Linked DNA regions of Oryzias latipes. The main gene of each other region encodes a partner of the protein of the gene in region 3 in a complex. Links are inferred from orthologs where the notes say so. Each region holds a gene or a part of one and is shown on either strand. Other genes may lie near its edges.

Evidence for each region. The genes of interacting proteins can lie anywhere in the genome.
Region 1: nup93 (region 3) and nup54 share a complex: the UniProt entries of both Homo sapiens proteins name them as parts of the p62 complex. The link is inferred for Oryzias latipes from reciprocal best matches to the Homo sapiens genes NUP93 and NUP54.
Region 2: the proteins of nup93 (region 3) and nup35 are in contact, whole or in part, in a crystal structure (PDB 7MW1), measured with the Homo sapiens proteins. The link is inferred for Oryzias latipes from reciprocal best matches to the Homo sapiens genes NUP93 and NUP35. Residues at the interface, in NP_055484.3 of Homo sapiens: Tyr266, Tyr269, Asn402, Ala407, Asp408, Lys409, Thr410, Glu411, Tyr413, Tyr448, His452, Phe453, Val455, Asn456, Leu461; in NP_612142.2 of Homo sapiens: Ala88, Pro89, Pro90, Val91, Arg92, Ser93, Ile94, Tyr95.

The regions. Positions count from the first base shown.
Region 1 is NC_019870.2:10,484,388-10,488,140, forward strand, and holds the start of nup54 (nucleoporin p54), read right to left. Parts: upstream 2,578-3,753; 5' UTR 2,434-2,577; coding exon 2,391-2,433; intron 2,100-2,390; coding exon 1,995-2,099; intron 1,219-1,994; coding exon 1,138-1,218; intron 979-1,137; coding exon 943-978; intron 459-942; coding exon 372-458; intron 1-371. UniProt on the Homo sapiens protein: Component of the nuclear pore complex, a complex required for the trafficking across the nuclear membrane.
Region 2 is NC_019879.2:12,115,300-12,119,052, forward strand, and holds the start of nup35 (nucleoporin NUP53), read left to right. Parts: upstream 1-839; 5' UTR 840-1,119; coding exon 1,120-1,132; intron 1,133-2,239; coding exon 2,240-2,407; intron 2,408-2,481; coding exon 2,482-2,615; intron 2,616-3,753. UniProt on the Homo sapiens protein: Functions as a component of the nuclear pore complex (NPC).
Region 3 is NC_019864.2:28,049,444-28,053,096, forward strand, and holds part of nup93 (nuclear pore complex protein Nup93), read left to right. Parts: intron 1-67; coding exon 68-140; intron 141-1,506; coding exon 1,507-1,551; intron 1,552-3,158; coding exon 3,159-3,275; intron 3,276-3,347; coding exon 3,348-3,466; intron 3,467-3,544; coding exon 3,545-3,653. UniProt on the Homo sapiens protein: Plays a role in the nuclear pore complex (NPC) assembly and/or maintenance. May anchor nucleoporins, but not NUP153 and TPR, to the NPC. During renal development, regulates podocyte migration and proliferation through SMAD4 signaling.

The sequences.
Region 1 (3,753 bases), on a different chromosome or scaffold from region 3:
GAAAAGAACGGTGATTTCTTTAGAGGGAGAGTGACCCCTGGTGGCAAGAAGGTCCAACATGAAAACGGATTTAAAAACAACCCCTACCCCTACATAAAATTGTAAACAATCTTCCAATTTGATTTCATTTTTGATTCAAGCAAATATGATAAAACATTGATTTATTTACTACATTTCCATCGCTAAAGCATTTATATTTTGTAATAAAAAGCATTTGACATAACTAGTAGTTTAAACTAAACAAAGGTGGAACATCTATGCAGAATTTAGTAACTAAAATGGCCATTTTTTTTCTCCAAAGGGTGACTGATTCCTGCTCATCTTTAGTGTGACGAGCACAGTTGATCTCTTTCTTGGAACTTGGTGCTGACCTGTTGTGTTGGAGGGGTTGACAAAACTAAAAGAGGATCCCGGTGCAGCAGCAGTTGTAGTTGTTGCCCCAAAGCCTCCAAAAGCGCCTGGGAGGTGAAGAAAATACAAATAAATGTAATACAAGGAGGTGACCCTTAAGAAGAAGCAAAAATGAAAGAATAGAACCATAAATGAACACAAAAACAACATCACAATTTTTAAAGAAAACAAATCGAGACATCAATACAGCATTGCTCTGGAAACTAACAGTCAAATGGAAACCATATGGGATGAACAGCTTATAATTGCACAAATGTTATGCAAGTGGAACTACAGTAAACCAAGTGAACAGCACACAATCAAGCATCAAGTGAAATGTGGGGGGAAAGTGGACAAATGAATGAAGATGTGTTTTTTTCTTTTAACAGACACACAATGAACTGAATCACAAAAGTCATCTACCTGTGCTAGCCAGGCTATTACCAAAATTGAAAACAGAGCCAGTGGTGGTTGCTGTACCAAAGCACCCCACATTAAAGCTCACTGCAGCTGGGTTGGCATTTAAACCAAACCCCCCAAAACTAAACCCACCAGCCGTACTGCCTCCGGCTCCGAGCCCCCCAAATCCTGCAGCCGGGGAAGGCAGGCAGCAAGAAACAGAGAGTGACACGGAGGGGTTACAAGAAATTAAGCCAAGCCTGGCATACATTTAGAAGAAGAGGAGGAATTTGTAATAAAAATAAGCTTGAGAAGCAACACACGAGCTCTTTCTGTGCCGCATCTTACCAGTGTTGGTGGAGCCAAAGCCGAATCCTGTGGCTGGTGCGGTGGTGGTGGTGGCTGCCCCAAAACCAGGAGCTGTAAGAGCTATGAAACAAATCAAGCAGCTCATCAAAGATATGAAACCTGCCCTCAAAATAAATAAGATATAAAAAACAGTGTAAAATTAAACAATCAAATGAATGATCAAATATAGTTTACTAGCCCTATTTAGGGCAACTAACCCACAAGCATGTTTATTATTTGATAAAATATTCATCTGGATCTATTTCATAACTTGTTTCATAAATTGGAAACAGCAAGATTATAAAAATGTAGGGTTTTGTTTGGCCTCAGTTTTCTTTTCTTTTCTTTAAATTGTACATACTGTAATTTTATTCCACTGCACTGAGATTTTGTTATTTTGGTTTTCAATCTACTACAAATAAGTACATCATCATGATCAGAGTTCCTTCTGGTTTGTTTTAAGATATTTTAGACCTGAATTTAGTCCATCTTTCAGTGGATTAAACAGTCATTCTCTCCAATGGATCAAGCAAGTAGAGAATTCAGTTTCCCACAACCACCAGGCTAAAAGGAATTTCAGTTCAAGCCCCACTGATCACCTGTTGATCTATTGTAAACGCGTTACCAAGTAGTCTTTTAATTATGATTATGCTGTTTAATAATAAAATATTCATCTGTTATAAAAATTTAAGACTTAAGACTCTGCAGGTTAACAACAGAGCAGTTATGAAAAATAAATCTAACTGGTCATGTGCTTTTTTTCTTCGTTAGCAAATAAAAGGAGCAGGAATGGGTTAGAAAGCCCCCGAATATTACATTTTCCACAGCATCTAAATGAATTGAAGACGCAGACTTACTGCCAAACCCGGACGAGGCGGTGGTCGTGATGGCTGTCGGGTTAAACCCAAATGTGGACGCTGTTGTCTTGGCACCAAAGGAACCAAATGAAAACCCGGACGTACCTTTGCAATGACACATGATACAGAGCGCTGTTAACGGCAGCTAAGTACACATAGCTCAACAAAACCGTGCTATTTTAAGTATTGTCAAAAGCTTTTAATTGCGTAAAAAAATAAAAGCCAGTTTTCGCAATTGACCGTAACTGTAGCTTAACGGCAGTTGCTGTGATCCGCTAGCACAGCATATATATAACTGACATAAACACACAAAAAACATGACAGCATAGCTTCGATAAATATATATTTACTCCTAACTAAATAAATATGATAAAACTTCACAAACAACAGACATACTTGGTGCTGTGTTGCTCGTGGCACCGCCAAAACTGAACGCCATGTTGACTGCTTTGGGAGCGTTCTTCTTCTTCTTCTTCAGAAATAACAGTGAGCGAGTAGGATCCAAAGGAGCTCAGTCCTACCACCTGGTGACCGGGAGCCGCAACGGCTTGCGAGCGTCAAAAAAGCTCCGTACCGCCACCTGCTGACCATGACCCGCAACGGCAAGAAGCTCCAAAGGAGCTCAGTACTGCTCAGGGTTAGGCCACAAAACTAAATTAATCAATAACAAAAAACAAATTGATTGAAAACAATTCTCAACAAGTGCAGACAAATGTAATGGAGCTTGTGAAATGCACATCTGACAGTATATATTACAATAAAAACTATTTTAACAGGGAATATTTGTAAAATTTGTAACTGGATCCCTTCCAAAGGAAGAATAGATTTCAATATACTAGAATATAGACCTTATGTCTAATACAGGCTCATAGTTTTCCTGATGTTTATTTGGAAAAACACAGAATACACAACATTTCCTCTTCCCTCCTAATTCACTATAAAACATGTCTTTTTCTAATTATATTTAAAATGACAAATAAAAAATAAATTCATTATTATGAAAATGGCAGGGTTGAAAAAATATTTACTAAATATGACCAAAACAAAAAGACAAAAAACAAGTACACATCCACTTAAGCTACTTTTTATTTCTGTGTGCAGATCAAAAGTAACATTCAAAAACAGGTGAACAGGCAGGATACTCAATGGTTACATTTGCAGCAATAATTTCCAAGATGAAAATGTTGATTGAAATGTGGCATTACAAAGAAATCCAGTCGTAAGCATGTGAGGATGATCTGTTTTGGTTTTATCAATGTAACAAAATAATTTATTCCCTTCAAAAACAACTACAGACATTGCATAACACTGTCTTGTAACATATGAGACGGAAGCTACCAATTTATTCGCTTGTTCTCGTTAATCGAAATCAACTACATTATAAAAACGTGTGGATTTGTTTAGCCCTCAGTTTAATTATTGTACATAATGAATTTTAGTTTGCATGAAAAGATAATAACACAAAAAAACTCAAAAGGAGAAAAATCTCAACAGCCTGATATATACACATGGATTATTACATAGTATGAAAGAATCTAAATCACAGATGAAGTGCTAAAACCAGTATTGGAGCCTGCACAGAATAAACTGAGCAGCTTTTTATTTGAGGAATACAAGATATGGCACATAGAGACACTTTGACCATGGAGGCTATACAAAAAAAAAATACTTCGGTCACATGTTCTTTTTTTCTTGGCATCTGGACGGAAGCTAAAAAGTTTCATCAGAAAAATCAAGTAAAGCAGTAACACTGGTTCAT
Region 2 (3,753 bases), on a different chromosome or scaffold from region 3:
CTTTCTTGTTTTATGTCCTCATCATGATACAAATGCCACAAAAACAACAAAATCACAATTTTCGTCAAAGTGGGATTTGAAGGCCAGTTAAGAAACTGCATGAATTTGCATTTTTTTCTGTCTAGATTATAACAAGGTTCTAAGTAAAACTTTATAACGTAAAAGAATAAGAAGTGGGGACAAGAAACCAAACTTTCTGTACAAACCATTTAATTTAAAAGAATAACGGAAATGGGTTTTGTTGAAGACCCATTTTTTTAGAACCTTTCATAAATCCAAATTGTTGCATATTTTCTTAACTGATCTTAAGATTTTGATCAGGAGTTTATATTCCATTAAAAATTATGTATTAGGTCTAATTCAGCAGCTGTGGTTTACATGCGCATTTACATTGAAACCGGAAGCTTTATGATGGACGTGTTTGATTAACTTGAAAATAGACAGACACGTCTTTATGACGTACTTTGTTGCGTTCGGGTTTTGTTAAATCAAAATTTCGAACAGAACCACGGGTAGATTGACAGCAAGGACATTTTTACTGTAAAAGACTGATTCTAAAACATGTTTGCTTCTTGGAATTTACCCATTAGTTCATACGTAACTTAACTGCATACCGACAGATGCCGCTCAAAGAACATCTTCATAATCTTGTAAACGTAAATAATTCGAACCATGATTTCTATCGATCTATTATGGTAATATTTGCTCTCAGCTTAATATATGTGTCTGCCTTTTCATACAAAGGCCCCAAGCCGATAGTTTTTCTACACACAATGTCGTATTTTCATATTGAGGATCTAGCAATTACTATTTAAAACAACAGACCTGAATGCATCATGTCAATGACGTCATCTAGAAGAGCCTGGAGCGAGCGGCTTGCTGCTTTAGCGTCAGCCCACGCTAGAGATCCATTAAGCAGTTGAAGAACTGGGTTTGTGGAAGCAGATAATCAATCGATTAATACATCGATTGAAACCGAACCTTCATTGTAACTATTTATTGAATATAAACAGACATAAGAATCAGAACACTGAATTTTAGAGGGTAAATACCTCTGCTAGCCATCAGTTTCTCCATCGTCACTTCCTACGTTTGAAAATCGCGGCTAAAGAAGCTCAAATGGAACTACAAGGTACACCGACTTTTAAATAAATTATTCTGTTTATGGGGAAAATATGCAAACACTTTAAAGACAGTTAACTTAATCCGGTACTTCCTGGCAGCTTCTATCGACGTTTATTTTTCTCTACTAGAGACTGACAAGATAATTGTAAACTAGCTAACATTTGGTCAACCTTTGGTTTGTTAAAACAACCAATCCACTTATTGTTTCATAACGGATTGCTTTATGTTTTATGTGCTGCAGTGGCTTTTTACCGGAGGTTTATCTTGATTCAAAAGAAGAAAAGTCTTTCACTTTTCCATTTACACACTATGAAAAGTAACGTCTCACTAACTTCTCATGCTTTAAAGTTTTATAATTCAGACATTTGGTCCTCACATTTCTAATGTAGCTCTCAATAGATGGGTCAAAGTGATCTGCTGGGGTGAATCAGACTGCCTCAAAGAGCCTCTAAAACGTTTTTCCTACCCAAAAGAACTTTTTCTAAGTGTAATATTTACAGCAAAAAATAAATAAATCCGTCCAAAAACAGTCACAGCCCCTCGATGGGCTGATCAGAGGAGGACATCTCTTCTAAGTCCTGACTATTTAGTTTAAAGCCGTTCTTTCTTTTTTTTTTAATACAAAACACAATTTTCTTTTCTTTTTTCAACGTTTTTTTTCTTTTGTTTTGGATGAATTTTAAAGTAAAATCCATTTTGAAGCGATGGATTTCCTTCATACAAACGCCAGAGAGCAGCATATAGGATGCTGATTGGACGAACTTAGCTTGCTGAAACATGTCTAGTTTAGCATACTTTAAGGCAGGGGTGTCCGGCTTGCTGATGGTTTCCACCTGTGGTAAGCACCAAAGGCAGGAGTAGACCGAAAAGAAGCAAGACACGCTTTGAGAAAGGTCACTCCTCTGTTACAGGAAGTCATAAAGATGGCTTTGGATGTCGTCCTTGGTGTTTACTCTTTATTATTATTTTGGATTACTGATCATTGATTTTTACCTGGCCTAAAAGGTAATTGGGGTGAGAAAATGAAGACACAAAGATCTTGAACGTTCCAGTTCTTGCTGCATAATAACAGAAAGCTGCTGCTAACCTGAGCATAAAATGTTGTCTGTTTCAGTGGGTACTGAACCAATGAGTCTGGGTTCTCCCACCTCTCCTAAACCAACCTCTGGAGCTCAGTTTCTGCCTGGTTTCCTGTTGGGGGATCTTCCTGCTCCTGCCAGCCCACAGCCCCGCTCCTTCAGCCTGTCCACCCCCATCTCAGAGAGCAAAAGTGCACACCGAGGTGAGCTGGGGGACGCATCCGCTGCCTCATTTGGGATAACCGTACGGTCATTTGTCCTGAAACTGTGTTTGCAGGAGGACCAGGCGGTGTCGGTTCACCCATGCAGCCTGTTGTCCCAACACCTAAAGACAAGAGTGGAGCTCCTCCTGTTCGCAGTATCCATGACGACCTGGTAACAATGGGCACGCCCCTCGGTGCTCACAGGCAGGTTTGTATGCTTGAAAGTAATTGTTGCATTGCAGCATCCACCAAAAAACATAACTGCTTAAGATTTCTACTGTATTGTTGGAGAGTTAGAGTTCCATGTGATGAATTTGATGCATCAGCTAGGGACATTTAGGTTAACTTGATACCACAAAGTTAGAAAAACTTATACCATGGTCCAGGTAAATACCTGATTCTGATTGGCTGCTGGGTGTGCATTAAGTAAGGGTTAATGGCCGACGAAGTGTGCGTTTATTACTTTTTAACGCACGCCGTGGAAGCCTGAACTTTGCTTCCGCGAAGCGCGTTAAAAAGTAATAAATGCACACTTCGAAGGCCATTAACCCGCTTATACCATGGTCAGTTACAAAAGCAATACATACTAACCAGGTTTTAGTCCTTAATTCTTGTTTTTTTTTTTTCGATTTGGATCGTTTTTCTCACAAAAAGCAGACTATATGTTACGTTATGCAGCGCATCTGCAGCACCACTGCAGTCAAGTTTCGGCGATATATATATATATGCTGATCGTCCCGATGGGTTGAATAAAGCATCAGTTCAGAGAGAAAGATCACCTCTTACCGCTTGTTTTTGTCCAGATGATGAAGCAAAAGGTTATTTTAAAGAAGCTGGCGCAGTGATACAAAACGTTTAAGCTAGCTGACCGGAACTTCTTTTTTCACCGTGCGGTTATCATGTTTTAATGCATACCCAGCAGCCAATCAGAATTGAGTATTCAACCGGACCATGGTATAAAAAGTGATAATCCACAGTGATAAAAAAGAAGTTCCGGTCACATTTTCTATATATTTTCTTATAATAACTGCCTTTTAGATGTTCTTAACAATTTCGCTCCTGTAAAAACCCGGTCTGTTTTATTTGTTAAATCTTCCCCCTGGTTCACCCCTGAACTCCATAAAATGAAAGCCAAATGCCGCCAGTTGGAGCGGCTCTGCAAAAAAACTGGCTCTCCCGTCCATAAGGAAATATACAATGAACGGATTTTACAATACAAGGACTTGGTTTCTAACACTAAAACAAAATACTTCACTCAACTGATTGATGCAAATAAGGGAAATTCCAAAATGCTGTTTTCTCTAATGGATAATGTCTTTCAACCCCGTAACAGTTTTCCCCCTCAT
Region 3 (3,653 bases):
TCCTGACCCTTAGCTGCTTTACTATACATCGACATATCCAATAGATGTCGTTTTTATCGTCCTGCAGTAATGAAAAGGACAGCCAGGGAGAAAACATGTTCATGCGGTGCGTCAGTGAACTTGTTATCGAGAGTCGAGAGGTGAGTGGACCACGGTTTCCTACCAAGGCTTGGAGAAATATGTCTGCGCCAATAAATCAGTGCTGTTTGACCCAGTCAGTAGAGCTGGATTTGATATCAAACTCCCTCCGCTGATGGAAAAAAGAGACGGTTTTAGTGTCGCCCATTGGCTATATATGAGAACTGGACAGAGTGAGTGTGATTTCACATATAGAAAATGGTTTAGGCTACGTTCACACACACGTCACACACATGTCGCGCGTTCTTGTACGTGCGTTTAGCCCATGGCGTTTACACTTAATGAGTAGGGAGGGGCAACCTGTTCTTTATCGTTTTTTTTTTTACTGTTTGGAAGAGATTTGATGCAAAATGTGGAAGCGGTGCAAATGCCGCGAGGCCTTTTTCTTTCTCAGCTCCCTTCTGATATGTGAAAGACTTTCTCCAGCCGGAAAAAACATACAAAACACAATTATTAATTTCTCCTTCATGATCAATTTTCAAATGTGAATTTAAAGGGACGCCATCCATACGTCAATACCAAACCCAAGTCTCTGATTGGTCAGTTTGGCGCATATATGAGCATTTACATTGACTTTTCATTCAAGTTGGTTGCTTTAACGCGTGTTGCCAACGTAGCTTCACTTCCCGCCACAACCAAATGAAGTTAATTCATTTGACTTTTTCTTTTGGCGATGTGGACATTGCTGCCATGTTGGAGCCCGACAACCTCAGTAAGCATTTGGTCTGAGTCATTGTCTCCATGGCAACCACTCTGCCTCTCAGCTTTGAGCGCGTTTGAAGTCCACACCGCTACCTCTTGAAAGCAGGCTAAACGAAATCTGTCAGACGTTTCAAACGCTGGCCTTGGGGCCCAGCAGGCTCCACCCATTTCTGTCGATCTGATTGGTCAGTTTATAACTTAAATAACTTGAAGTACAGAAAAAATAAAGGCAGATTAGCAAGAAAATGTAAAAAAAAAAGGAATGGATTTTCTGACCAATAGAATGACTGAGGAACAGCTGTTGATTGATGGGATTTTGGCTTCTTGGAGCCACTTCCTGTTTGGAACGCCATGGGGGAGGAGTCACTCAGTCCAGCTGTCATATAAAGTCAGTGGTGTTGCTGCACCAGAAGAGACATTTTAACTTCAAATTGGATCAACATCCTGATTTGGGCATTGTACCTTAAAATGAAGAATTTTTGTGTTACTAGTCACAACCTATTTGGTGTGCAGACTTTTGAACTATCTTAGTGAAGCGTTTTTGAATTTTCTGTCAGAAAATTTGACTTGTGAAACACGAAAAGTGCGACTGAGATGTTGCTGCTTAATCTCACAGCACAGATGAACCGTTGTGACTGATTTTTTTTTTTTTACTTTTCCTCTCAGTTTGACATGCTGCTGGGGAGATTAGAGAAGGACGGCAGTAGGAAGGTAAGAAGATTGAGTCAATCTCCCCTCCTCATTTATTTAATCTAGCTCTTTCTATTTGCCCCACACCTTCTCTCCATCTCTTTTCCTTCATCCGCTTCCAGATTTTTCTTTCTTTCCTCTCCTCTTTGTTCCCGCCCGGCACGATGTTCAGTCAGAAGTCGTCTCCTACACATTCAGCGCCTCACATCCAGAGAAAGCTGGTCACCTTTCAAGGATCAGAAGCCTCAAAATCTGCATTTAAACCTACATTTTTTCTCTTTACATTTCTCACGGCGCCTGCAGCACTCTCTCTGCGTGACGTCTGAAGCTGCTTTTGTTTCCGCACATTTTTCACGGCTGTGTTTTATCCCACACTCTATTCTGGGTACTAAACACATCCAGAGTGCGGCTCTGAACGCGTCTCACGCGCGGTTTGATTGAAGGCTTTGTTGGATTAACCGTCGAGCTCCTGGCAAGTTTGAAAATGTGTGCCGGCGTGTTTTGATGTCCATTCAGGAGAAGATTACGTTTAATTTCCTTCCTATAGATGCTCCACATACAGAACATACGAGGCGGACAAAAAAATGGAGATGGCTGCGTTCTGCAGGAGGCATCAGCGTGAACTCCATGACTCTTTCAACACACGTCTTTTTACCCATGTTGATTAATTACTGATAAGAAATTCTAATTAACTCCATGTATGATGTCACCTTCTTCTTCTTCTTCTTCTTCTTCCCTCTTTCCCACGAATCTCACAAAAGCAAACATTGTGCCTGACCAAGCATTAAAACTCATGTACTACCTGTTTTTATTTTAATTTATTAGATTTTTATGATTTGATCACACAAAATGTTCTTTTTTATATCAATACTATTATATTTTATTGAATAATAAAAAGCATTCACATCATAGATAATTTAAATCAGAAAAATAATATGCTTAGTTTGAGTTTATTTGTTTATTTATGAACAACGGATTTAAAAAAAGTTTAGAATAAATTATATTTGAAGAAAAATATCAATTTATAATTTCAAAAAGGATCAATTAAGATCTATCATTTTACAATTATTTTAATTCCAGCCTTATTTAATATGATCAGCATCTACGGTGTATTATGTTGGGAAAACTGACAGAAGCCAGAATTACTACATAAAATTAAGTAAAATAATAAAACATTTTTTGTGTGTCTGGTTTAATTTTCTTTAAATTTAAATCTTTATGTAGAAACGAATTAAGAATCTGAGGGGTCATAGAAGAAATGAGAAAAAAATTAATTCAAATTAAATGCAATTCAGCAATTTTTCCATTAAGTTAGAAAATGATAGTCATATTCAGTCACATAAATGTCTTCATGTGGTTAAAAACTATTATGTAACAACATTTTAGTGAGATCAAATCAAATGAAACTTTATTTATAAAGACATTTTCATACACATGCAACAAAACCACAAACGGATGTAAAAACAAACAAGGATTTATGGATCAACTGACTGTTTTGAGAATTCACAGAGTTAACAGGTGGAGAAGGAAGCGGAGCCGTCTGAGCTAACAGGACAAAACTGGATTTTGATTCACACTCCAAACCTCCGGCTCAGCTTCTCCTCTCACTCCTCTGATCCCCTCTCCAGCCCGGCGTGATCGACAAGTTTGCCGGAGACACCAGAGCGATCATCAGTAAAGTGGCCTTAGAGGCTGAGAACAAAGGCCTGTTCGAGGAGGCGGTCAAACTCTACGAGCTGGCCAAGGTGAGCAGAACTGCTGGTCTTTGCTGCTCTCCGCCGAGCCGGTGGTCCTGAGTTCCATTTGTGCCCCCGCAGAACCCAGACAAGGTGCTGGAGCTGATGAACAGGCTGCTGAGTCCGGTCATTGCCCAGGTTAGCGCGCCTCAGTCCAACAAGGAGAGGCTCAAGAACACCGCCGTGGCCATCGCAGAGAGGTGAGGGGACGCCGCAGGTGCGCGCCAACAGTGACGCTACGGATGCTAAAAATGACCCTCCCTGTGTTTCTGCTGCAGGTACCGCTGTCAGGGGATCGCAGGGGAGAAGGGCGTTGATAGCACCTTTTATCTGCTTTTAGACCTGATGACATTCTTTGACGAGTACCACGCAGGCCACGTGGACAGA